3 linked regions of the Rattus norvegicus genome follow. The protein of the gene in region 1 interacts with the protein of each later gene in a biochemical or structural test. Links are inferred from orthologs where the notes say so. Each region holds a gene or a part of one and is shown in the gene's direction. Other genes may lie near its edges.

Region 1 (4,376 bases):
AGAGAAGCAGCCCTTCCAAGACCTCATGGAAGGTGCTGACCAGCTCTGCCCAGCCCAGCACACAGCTCGACTTCTGGGAAGAGATTCCTTCCCAGTGACTCTAAGGAGGGCACAGCAGGGGTGGGGAGTCCCAAACTGCTCATGCTGCAGTCCCAGCTGCTCAGGAGGCCAAGAAAGGAGATCACTGAACCCACGAGTTGTGGGTTATTAATAGTGAGTCTCCTGTTGCCAAGCGAGGGAGCTGCCACGTGTGGCCATGCGAGTTAGGCTGGGACTGAGACCGCCGTGGAAGGAGAAAACTGACCTGTTGACTTCTGCCAGGCATGAGCACATGAGCACACACACACAATACAATACGATGGTTTTTAATTAGGTGGAAGGCAACTGAGGCGAACACCTGACATTGAACTCTGGCCTACACATATACATGTGAACACACAAGCACCCCAAAACCCAGGAGAGGAAGAGATAAACTGGGCAGGTGGTGGCACATGCCTTGACAGGCAGATGGATCGCTCTGTGTTCGAGGACAGCCTGGCCTTCATAGTGGGTTCCAGGATAGCCAGAGCTAGATAATAGAGTGACCCTGTCTCAAAAATAAAAAATGAGAGAAATCAACTCACAAAAGAAGCTTCTTACATCTTTTTGGTTTCTGTCTTCAACTATCTGTGTAGCCAAGGCTAGCCTCCTCCCTAAGAGTGTTGAGACCACACACTTGTGACAACAGGCCCGGTTTATGTGATGCTGGGGATGGAACCCACGAAGATACTCTACCAACCCAGTCCAGCCTGTCCTGTTCTCAGGTCACAGAAAGAGTTCTCGCCTCTCCTGTGGGTCCTCGGGTTTGAACTCAGGTCCTCAGGCTTGGCTGTGTGCACTAAGCCAGCTCACTAGCCCCAGTGTCTTTTGCTGGGAGCTAGGTTTGGAATCTGAGGCCCTTGCGCCTTTACCCACTGACCCAACTCATGTTTTGGTAGCACTTCTGGTTGATTTTACTTACATTCCTCTCTGAGTGCTATTTATGGTCGGATCCGAATAACCATCTAAAACCTGCAACTGTACTTGGGTCAAAAATCTATGTGCCCGTTCCTAGAAAGGAGAGTAAATGCTGCAAGGAGTCTGTGTGTATGTGCGCGCACACGAGTTGGGGGCTCCGGGGTGGGGGCTGGGGGGTCCCATACTTCTGTTTTCCTTTGGAGGTGGAAAGGAAAACGTCAGAAGGCGACCCAGGGTGTGGAAGGATGTGGGTCGTCCTTTGAACAGTGAGAGCTGAGTCCACAGCTAAGCATCTGGGAACTGGTGAAATTCTGAAGGAGGAACTCGAGGAACTTCCCAAGGCTAAGGGAGCTTCAGGGGTTAAAGATCCTATGTCACATCGGCCGTTCCAAGCTCCTCCCCGCACAGTGAGGAGTAGATTTTTGAAAATCACCCCACTGCAGACTCCTCCCCCTCTGGAAACCTCGTCCCTAGGGCTGAGAATGACTCTGGCTCTGCGCGTGTAGTCAGTCACCAGTTGACCCAGTGCGGCGTAGGATTGCAGCCCGCATACCGTGGGGCTTGCCACCCAGGTTTTGCAGCTGAGACACCGTGGGACCCGTGATCCTGTGTTTGCAGCGGGAACATTTCGGGTCTGTGATCCGAGTGGGGACGCGACGCAGAGGCTGAGGATGAGCACCGCGGATCTGATGCTACGCTGGGCCATCGCCCTGCTCCTGGCTGCTGCTGGAGTTGCAGGTAAGGCTTATTCCAGGAGCCTGCCGAGGGCCAGGGCCAGCCGCTCTGAACTCGGGGAGCCCCGAGTGGTTTTCTTTTTGGACGAGAAATAGAATCACTCATGCGAACTTGGGATGATGTCCTTCCCACGTGGCTGGAGGGAGCTGTTCTGGAAATAGGATGCCAGAGTTGTAGGGGGTCAGAGTAGGTTTGGGGGGAGACGGGTAGGTGCTCTCTCGAGTTAGCGGTGTTCTTCAGAGCTATGTGTGAGGGAGTCCAAGAGGAGGGCTCCCATCATTCGTTTTAAAGGACTGGGGAGAGACAGGCTCAGCTGTTCAACTTTGGGGTCACTAGTCGTAGGTATAGGACTTGAGGGGTCTACACAGATGCGCTCAAACCCCGCTGCTGCCGGGTGCCCTAAAACTCCGCCCTAACCCCACCTCCCACCGCACCCCCGAGCTCCTATTGGGTAAAGCCGGAACAGGCGAGACTCGAGCCACTCCCCTCGCCCAATGGAAGAAGAAGATGAGGTGCAGGGGCGTGGCTTGCCTGAGTCTCCGGGGTCGGGTGGGGCTACACATCCTGGCCGCCCCGGTTCCCCTGTGTGAGTCACTCACTACCTTGTCCACACTTCTCTGGTCAGCTTCATAGTTGTGCCTCTGGCAACCCAGACCCTGGTAGCCGGGACCATCAGTCAAGGAGAGCCAGGGATCTGGCGAGGACTGTTGCTGGCCTGGTTTGTTCCCACTCTCTGAATGTGTTGAATTGGGCTGCCCCATCAAGTGGACTTTAGTTTTAGGAGAAGTGCTGGAATTTGGACAGGAAGTTAGATGGTGTTATAATCTCACCCACGACTTCTTTGCAGCACTGGGGATTAAACTCAGATCCTTGCACACTGGGACAAATGCTCCACCTCTCCCTTACTTTATAGACAGGGTCTCATGTAGCCTAGGATGGCCTATAAGTCACTATACGGTCTAGAATGACTTTAAGCTCCTAATTCTTCTTCCTCAGTTTGGGAGTGTTGGGGTGACAGGTATGTGCCATAGCACCTAGATTTGGGGATACCATGGATAGAACCTGGGGCCATGCATGGGATCCAGGCAGGAGCTTGGAAGGAGTTAGCTAGCTGTGTGTGACTGTCAATCCTGGGGATGCTTCCTTGAGACAGCCTGGCGGAGCTGGGGATCCTGGGGCACACCTTTAATCCCAGCACCGGAAAGTCAGAGGCAGGTGGAGCCCTGTGAGTTGTAGGACAGCCAGGGCTATACAGTGAAGTGAACCCCTGGAGAGAGAGAGAGAGAGAGAGAGAGAGAGAGAGAGAGAGAGAGAGAGAGAGAGAGAGAGAGAGAGAGAGAGAGCGAGCTGTAATTGAACACTGAGGCAAACACTCAGCCATCCTGCTATAATTGCAAACAAGGGTAGACCAGATATCCTGCTCAGCTTCCATTTCGCCTGTCATTGCTCTCTTTAACAAAAAGGAAGAGAGGAAATTATTTTACAAAGTCTTGAGCAAGAGCTGAAGTTTCCTGTCTCACAGGAAAGCCAGAGGGGCCCGTGCTGGCCTCACTGGGTGCTGGCCTCCCTCTCATGCTCCGGGCAGCCACACTACGGCTTGCTCTAGGTTAAGCTTCAGTGCATTAACTGGACGGTTTGTCTGTTTTAAGATCTGTTGTGAACACATCTTTAGATGGCTCAAGAGCAGATCTGGGGGCTGGGGTGGTGGCTCAGTCAGTTGGTGACATGGCCATGTGTGGGGCAGCCTGAAATGACCACTCTGGAGGATCCCTGGACTTGAGGGTGAGCTCTGGGTGCAGGGTGAGGAGGAGGAACACTAAGGAAAACATTCGACTGGGAACTCTGGCCTCCACACACACAGAGCCCGCAGCCGTGTGAGGGGTGTCAGATATGCCAGAGGTCTGTAGCACGCACTGTTAGCTCACAGTGGTGCTTCAGCTTCATTTGTCTGTCACATTCCTTGCTGAGTAAAACTGGTAAACCACTGAATAGGGTTGGATTTTTTTTCCCTCTTGTTCTTTTTGATTATTTATTTTTGGAGAGACAGTATCTCACTCTGTAGCCCAGGCTGTCCTTGAATTCACTATGTAGCCCAGGCTGGCCTTTTTTTTTTTTTTTTTTTTTTTTTTAAGTAGAGTCTCACTGTACAGGGTAGCGCCCTGCCTCTGACTCCTGAGCCCTGGGAGCCTCTTACCTGAGCATCCCTGAAATTACAAACCCGGAGGGCAATGCTCCTGACTCTGACCGCTCAGGGTTCTTATCTCCCTGCTTGGTCCTGATAAGACTCTGGCCACCTCTATGCTTGGCTCCTTTGACCAAGCTTTTGATGCGTTAATTCTGTCAGCAGCATCTGCACCCTCTGGGCATGTGGGGCAAATCAGCTTTGGTTGCTTATGGAGACGACAGGGGTTGGCGGTCCCTAACTCATGTTAGGCTTGCTGGTGAGGAGGCCGGCGAGCACTTTTGCTCCTGAGCCACCATGGATGCTACGGAGGATTTATTTTACTCACACCCTGCTTAGCCGATGGCATTACCCACGGTAGAATGGACACAGCCGGTTCGTTGGTGGGTTGGAACTGCTGGTGCCGCCCCTCATGTTTAGGGTTGCTATGAAAACACTTTTGTAAATGTTTGTTCACCAGGAT
Region 2 (4,091 bases), on another chromosome or scaffold:
GCTAGATTGCTTCACAGCAATGCTCGGGGAAGGTCTAAAAGATAGCTAGTCTCCATTCTACTGTGAGGACATTGAGCTTCAGAGAGATGAAGTTGTCCAAGGATCCAAGGCTGAAACCCACATTTCCTGGTTTATTTTACAAACCAAAAGGAAGAGAGAGAGAGAAGTGGGGAGGGAGGTAGGGAGAAAGGTACGGAGAGAGGGAGAGGGAAAGGGAGGGAGGGAGGGAGGGAGGAGGAGGAGGAGGAGGAGGAGGAGGAGGAGGAGGAGGAGGAGGAGGAGGAGGAGGAGGAGGAGGAAGAAGAAGAAGAAGAAGAAGAAGAAGAAGAAGAAGAAGAAGAAGAAGAAGAAGAAGAAGAAGAAGAAGAAGAAGAAGAAGAAGAAGAAGAAGAAGAAAGACAGTATAGGCCAAGAGAAACAAGTAGTAAATATGAAGATTTCACACCTTTAACTACTAATCTCTTGTATTGCGATACTCTTCCTGCTAGGTCCCAAGATAAGCCTGTTACCTTTAAGATGGGGTAACATCTGGTTGTCTGAAAGAAAGGACAGGGAGTGTATCTGGTATATTGCAAATGAATTCGATGAGAGATAGGATGGGTAACATAACTATTTAGCAGAACCCACGCCTAGAAACCCTTGGCACGTGTTAATGTAAAGAATGGTGCTTGGATCAAGTTACCGGCTTATTATGGGTCAATTGCAAAAACTTTTCTACTCAAGAGTGTTCTTTTGAGAACTCAGAGGCAAATCCTAGCGGAAAAGCATCAACTTTAGGCTCTGACTTGCTCAAACCACCGGGTCATTAGAGTAACCCCACGCAGGAGTCCTGAGAACCGTGGCATCGCAGGAGCGTTTGATCACAGTACTCTCAAACCGGGACAGAAAGGCGTCCCCTGGAGCTGCGGGCGACAGCGGGCTGGGAGGAGCGTCGCCCAGTGGCAGAGGCCGCGACGGTACCCGGGGTTGGGGAGAGAACTGGCTCCCACCTCCCGCAGCTCCACAGGCGGTGCCGGGAGGCGGGGCTTCAGCTATTGAGACTGATTATTGGCTGCCGGAGCTGGGGAGGAGGGGCAAGCACGCAGTGATTGGTGAAGACCGGCGCCGGAGGGGCGGGGCCTCTATAAAAGACGAGTGCCTGTAGCGGCGCTGGCAGTGGGGCTGTCGGAGCGGCGCGGCCGTGTAGCTCCCGGGAACTGGCTGTCGTGGGGGGTGGCGGGGACGCGAGTGGCGGCTGCGTGGGGTGCAGGGCGGGTGACCGCACGGCTGCACCTTCCTCGCGGTGCCCGGAGCCGACTTGGAGCAATTGCAGTGAGGCGACAGCCCCGGCGCACACCGGAGAAGAAGCGGCCGTGGCGGCGGTGGCGGCGGCCCCAGCCATGCTGTGCTATGTGACGAGGCCGGACGCGGTGCTGATGGAGGTGGAGGTGGAGGCAAAAGCCAACGGCGAGGACTGTCTCAACCAGGTGATGGCAGTGATAGGAAAGGGGATCCCTGCTCATTACCGGGAAGCCTCGGGGCTCAGGGATGCTCCTCCGGAGCCGGGCGACGTTGCAGCGGCGGCCCGTAGAGCGCTCCCGGGATGCCAGGCTTCAGCCTCCTCCTCCCTGCCAGCTTGGGGTGGGGGGGGGGGCATAGAGGACGCTTACGGTGGGGGAACCTGGGCCTGGAGACCAGGACACTGCCGGAAACCTCCACCCTGTCTCCTAGCCTGGCACTTTTCTCTAAAGAAGGTGGCAGGGCACACCTGCCGCAGGTGTGTGTATGTGATGCCTCCCGTGGAGTCCTTGCAAAGCCCGGCAGCGCCACCCGCGTCCCGGGATGAGGTGGCTGCAAATGGTCGCTGGCCCCGGGGTTCCCTAGCTGACCAGGTGAGCCCTTGTCTCAAGCTGCTTCTTAGAAGGACTGTTCGTTCACCTGACACACTCCAGGTTTGCTGGGGATCCAGAGTATGCCCGAGTAATTTGCGGGGGAACGGTTCTGCCGGCAGTCTCCTGCTTGGGGTCTTTACACGTGTGTTTTCTTAAGAGTGACTAAGGCTCTTAACAGTGTGTGCATAATGGGTACAGCAGACCCATTTGACCCCTGGAAACACTGTGCCTTCAAGACCTGTAGACCTGAGCTATTTGGAGAGCTGTGTGTAAAGCTTAGCTGACACTTGTGGCATGCTTCCTCAATGCGTTTGTGTTTTTGGAATCCAGATGGTTAAAACTGTCCAGATAATAAGCTGCCGAATCAGCTGTGCAGATGGTGCTGGTGGAGGGAATTGCAGCGATTGGAATAAGAAATAAAATACCCTGTGGGTTCCTCTTCCTCAGCCATTTGGGAAATCTGTTTGGGGGGACTCCTTTCTCTGTGCAATTGGTCAGACCCTAGAAATAATCGAGCAATGCGAAGCCTCCATTGGAGAGCTGCGTTTTGGCTTTGCTGATACCTTAAAACCTTGTTTTTCCGGTCTACCACTGGCATTGCAACAAGGTAGAACTTTAGAAAAGTGGTTGCCAGCCCTTCACTCAGATGTTTGCATTGGGTTTGCATTGCTCATCTCCCCATACCTTTGGTTCTGTTTTTTAGGTGTGCAGGCGATTGGGAATCATAGAAGTTGATTATTTTGGGCTGCAGTTCACGGGTAGCAAAGGTGAAAGCTTATGGCTGAATCTGAGAAACCGGATCTCCCAGCAGATGGATGGGCTGGCACCTTACCGGCTTAAACTGAGGGTCAAGTTCTTTGTGGAGCCCCATCTCATCTTACAGGAGCAGACAAGGTAAAGCGAGGCGGAAACAAACCAATGTCAAGTACACCTCTGATTCCATTTAGAGGCAGCTATCCTGCCCTCCCAGAGATGTCCCCTGGCAAATTTGACTTGGTGCAGAGAAAGTTCTGGAAAAACTTAAATTCGTTTTTCGAAGCACAGTTGGCCTGGGTGGATTTTTTTCTCCAACACCCCGCTCCCCTCCAATCTGTATAATATTAGTGAGAGAACAGGGCTGACTTCGTACAAACAAAAAGAAAACCTGACACCGACTTCCTGACTGCTTCATCTAATGCCCGCGAGTAACCCCGCCTCAGCAGTGTTACTACAGGTCACTGTAGACTGTTCTAACCGAAAGCAGGAAACTGTTCCTCTTGGGTTGCTTAAACTTGGTCAATCTTCAGCCTAGTGTCAGATTACAGTGTGTAGCGGGAGTGCTCTGTCTGGCCTCCTGCAGATTTGAAAACTTTTTTAAGTTTCACAAAAAATTAATAAAAGGACTCTTTGAAGGCCACTGTAAACTGAATTCCACCCTACAGATATATTAAACATGATTGATTGTTGGGCATGAGGTTTTTTCTCCCCCCTCCTTGTTAAACGGAGGGCCCCCAGCCTTGGTAGACAACTGAAGCCTGTGGGTGTGGCCTCCTTTTTCAAACGACCAAAATACATGCACACACACACACACACACACACACACACACACACACACACACACGTTTCCCTCTGAGCTGACTGTAATACTTTTCTCAAAGATGAACCAAAATAGGAAGGCGGGGTTTAATATTTATTACTGAAATGCAAGAGACTACAGGAAAAAAAAAAAGAAAGAAAATGATTGCTTTTAAAACCACAGCAAACTCTGGATCCCAGCACTGATGTTTTCCATACTCCTGTGGCTTGGAAGTGGGCCACGCATGTGAAAAATGTGATCTTGTAGATTTCTACTCCTAATGGGGGAACAGGCTCCTCAGAGAGATTTTAACATACCGGTTTTTGTTTATTTACTAGACAAACAATGGAAACATTAAAAAATACCGTCCATTTGGGTTTGGAATGTCCACGTTGCCTTACCATGGTATTTTAAAGGTTGGGAGAGATTTTTGTTTACAGACAGACAGACAGACAGACGAACAGACCAACCGATCTGGTTTGTGAAAGCTTCCTTAGTTCAGTAAGTGAGAAAAATACATGACACAGCATTTGTTCTGTGTATGTGTGAGTGTGTGTGTGTGTGTGTGTGTGTGTGTGTGTGTGTGTGTAGCAGTCACATACGGCGATTTCAGGGCTTCCAGGTGCAACCCAATTCTAGTGACACAAATTTATCTTTGAAATCAG
Region 3 (3,098 bases), on another chromosome or scaffold:
GGCCAATGCGTTGGCCACCAGGAGGCCAGTGTCCACGCTTCCTGCTGCCATGCTCCAGGTCTGGAATGCAAAATCAAGGAGCATGGCATCGCAGGTCCTGCAGAGCAGGTGAAGGAGTTGGGGATGGCTGGGTACCTTGGTCTTGTGTGTGTGTGTGGCGGGGGGTGCTGCCCTGTGTTGAAGGGGCCCCATGGGTCAGGAGAGGAGCTAGACGGTTTTTACTGTTGCAGGCACAGCATGTGAGCATTTGAGCGAGGCAGGCAGGCCTGGTTTTGCTTCTGCCCACTGTTGCTGCTCTTTGAGAGCATGCATGGTCGTGGCAAGTGGGAAGGAAACACCGTGCTTGAGCACTTTCTGATGGGGGCCGCTGAGGTTCTGCAGAGTCTGGACACAGAGCTGTAGATGCTGAGCAAGTGAAGGTTGAGGAAAGGAAGAGCCCTGGGAAGAGAGCCTGGGGCCAACAGATGGCCTTTCAGAGCTAGAGGCAGAAGTGTCCATCCTTTATACAGCTCTGGGGGTGGGCGGTGTGAGGCAGAAAGCTGCTCTATGAAGGGGAATCTCAGTTCCACTATATCAGTGAGCACAGGTACCCAGAGAGGCTGGCTCCAGTCTAGTCCAGTCCTAGGAGATAAATTGGGCAGAGGTGCCTGCTTGGCCCTCTAGGAGTCCCACTTGGTGGGAGAAGTAAGCAGAGTTAGTTCCAGAGGGCCAGTATGGAGAGTGCTAATATGGAGAAAAATGGAGCAGGGAAGATTGGTGGGTAGAGACACCCTTGAGATGAGATGACAAGCCATAGGGTCACCATCGGGAACAAAGTTTCTGGCAGAGGAAACAGCTAAGGTCAAGAGGGGTGACAGTATATCTTGGTGACAGGATCATCTAGGCCAGTGGGGCAGGTAGGGTCTCAGAAGTCTGGAAACATCTGACCTGGGGCGTGACCAGGCCCATGGTTGCCGGACTGAGACAGGAAGGTCTGCAGGATGGCCCCTGCACTGCTCCAGGTCTAGGATGTGAGGGTCTAGGCTGGAGTGGGAGTTAGGGGGAGGTGTTGCAACCGGAGATGTGTAGGTGAAGAACAGGTTCAGGGTTTCTGCTGAGCCTCTGAACTGCCATTAGATGGGATGGAAGGCTGCAGAGGGAGTGACTTTGGGGAAGTGAAGGTGGCTGAGTTAGACGTCTGCCCTGGAAGGAGAGCGTTGGTTACTGTTGGGTACAACCCTGCCTGTGTCTGAGAGGCTGTGGAGCGTGGTCAGCCCACAAGTCTCAGACACAGGCTGTCTTCCTCTGGATTCTGGCAGGTCACCGTGGCCTGTGAGGCAGGATGGACCCTGACTGGATGCAACGTTCTCCCTGGGGCATCCCTCCCTCTGGGGGCCTACAGTGTGGACAACGTGTGTGTGGCACGAATCCGTGATGCTGGTAGAGCGGACAGGACCAGTGAAGAAGCCACGGTAGCTGCTGCCATCTGCTGCCGGAGCCGGCCTTCGGCAAAGGCCTCCTGGGTTCACCAGTGACAGCCTCAGGCAGGCATTGTACCTGTGGCTGGACGCAGAGATGGACGTCCTGGCTCTCTTGTGTCTAGCCAAAGGTGGGGAGACTCTGCCTGGGGGAACTTGGCGTCTCATCCTGGGTACCCATTCCTGGTGTATGTGTGGGGAAGCACCTCCTTCATGGTCAGGGGGCCTGTGCTTGGCCTTCTGCCATCGAAGATGTTAAGCTATAGTTGGCTTTGGCCAGCTGCTCCAGTATATCAGAACCTGAGAGCACTTGCTACAAGGCTAGTGTTCAGGCCTTAGGCCTCCAGAGTGAATGTATCCTGCAGGAAGATAATGATGGATCGTGACCCTTGACGGTCACCCCCCGCCCCCAGGTCAGATGTCACCAGACTAGAACAGTATCTGAAAGCTGCTGGGGCCACTCACAGCTTGCTTACTCTGGAGACAGCATTTTGGGCTCCCTGATTAATGCAGATCAGTTCTGCCCACCTCCAGGGGTGGATCCAGCTGTGAGGCTCACCTGTATCTTCCAGATGTTCTCATCTGCTGCACCGAAGGCTCTGGCCCTGCTCAGGAGAACACGCTACGAACTCCTAGCTGACTCTGTTTGCACTGGAGAACCACACAGGGCTTACCCCACTACCCTGTGCACTGACTGGCTTCACTTTATGAAGGAAGAGACAGGGCCAGAGAAGCAATGTCATGCAGCCAGTGATGCTAGGACATAAATCCAGAGTGGCTGGCCCTGAAGCCATGCCTCTTGGCAATGCCAGGCTGGGCATCCTATTTTTGAAGCAAACAAAAAATGAGAGGACAGGCTGTGCTTCAGCGGCTTGTTCCTGGACCTATGCTCCCTTAGCCCCAGTCCCACGGATTATGTGGAGAGTGGAGGAGCAACAGAGGGCGACTGTACTAAGGCCACACAAGTCGACAAGAACACCTATATCCTTTTGACCTCTTCTGCTTTTTTATAGTAAGCTTTCCCTACCTGCGTTGCTTTTGTAACTCGATATTTATGCCGGGTTTTATAGAGTTTTTATTATGTAGTGACTTTTCAGAATAAAAGAAGCTGATGTGACTGCCTGCACCTGACTAAGGCTGCCTGCTTACCAGGTTGGACTATCTGCCAGACGGTGGCGTGCACAGGCTTGCAGTGGGCCCATTCTAAGAATGCAGCCACTGTTCCTGTAGCCTCCTGATGCCTCAGAGTACTAGTATTTGTCCTGGGGATCCCACTCCCTCCAGCATTATAGACTCTTTGGGCTCATGCCTACAGCACTCCTAGCTCCCAACACTTCTACCACCCTTCTAGCAAGGGCTCAGTGATGTTTCTCGGCTCATTCACTCATTAGTCTGTGGTGTTTCTGCAAGCAGTCTATAGTTACCCCTGATTTGAAATGAAACATGCTCTCAGATATTTTTTCAGTGTGCAATGTGCAAATATCCCTGTCATGCAGTGTGGACCCCTTGGTGTTACTGTCTTAGGCATGGTCTATCTCTATACAGTCTACACAATGGATCTGCCAAAAGTCTCCAAGTGGTTTTCTGCAAAGCAAAGCCATGTGTGAAAAGCACTATAGCTGGCAGATGCTAACGGCTCAA

Evidence for each region.
Region 2: of the proteins of Ldlr (region 1) and Mylip, one has a biochemical effect on the other in vitro, tested with the Homo sapiens proteins (4 studies listed by BioGRID, with this or other methods). The link is inferred for Rattus norvegicus from reciprocal best matches to the Homo sapiens genes LDLR and MYLIP.
Region 3: the proteins of Ldlr (region 1) and Pcsk9 form a complex in vitro, tested with the Homo sapiens proteins (3 studies listed by IntAct, with this or other methods). The link is inferred for Rattus norvegicus from reciprocal best matches to the Homo sapiens genes LDLR and PCSK9.

Annotation. Positions count from the first base shown.
Region 1 is NC_086026.1:28,544,678-28,549,053, forward strand, and holds the start of Ldlr (low-density lipoprotein receptor precursor), read left to right. Parts: upstream 1-1,513; 5' UTR 1,514-1,667; coding exon 1,668-1,734; intron 1,735-4,376.
Region 2 is NC_086035.1:19,511,534-19,515,624, reverse strand, and holds the start of Mylip (E3 ubiquitin-protein ligase MYLIP), read left to right. Parts: upstream 1-1,153; 5' UTR 1,154-1,379; coding exon 1,380-1,466; intron 1,467-2,574; coding exon 2,575-2,765; intron 2,766-4,091. UniProt on the Homo sapiens protein: E3 ubiquitin-protein ligase that mediates ubiquitination and subsequent proteasomal degradation of myosin regulatory light chain (MRLC), LDLR, VLDLR and LRP8. Activity depends on E2 enzymes of the UBE2D family.
Region 3 is NC_086023.1:126,439,585-126,442,682, reverse strand, and holds the end of Pcsk9 (proprotein convertase subtilisin/kexin type 9 precursor), read left to right. Parts: coding exon 1-108; intron 109-1,298; coding exon 1,299-1,514; 3' UTR 1,515-2,581; downstream 2,582-3,098.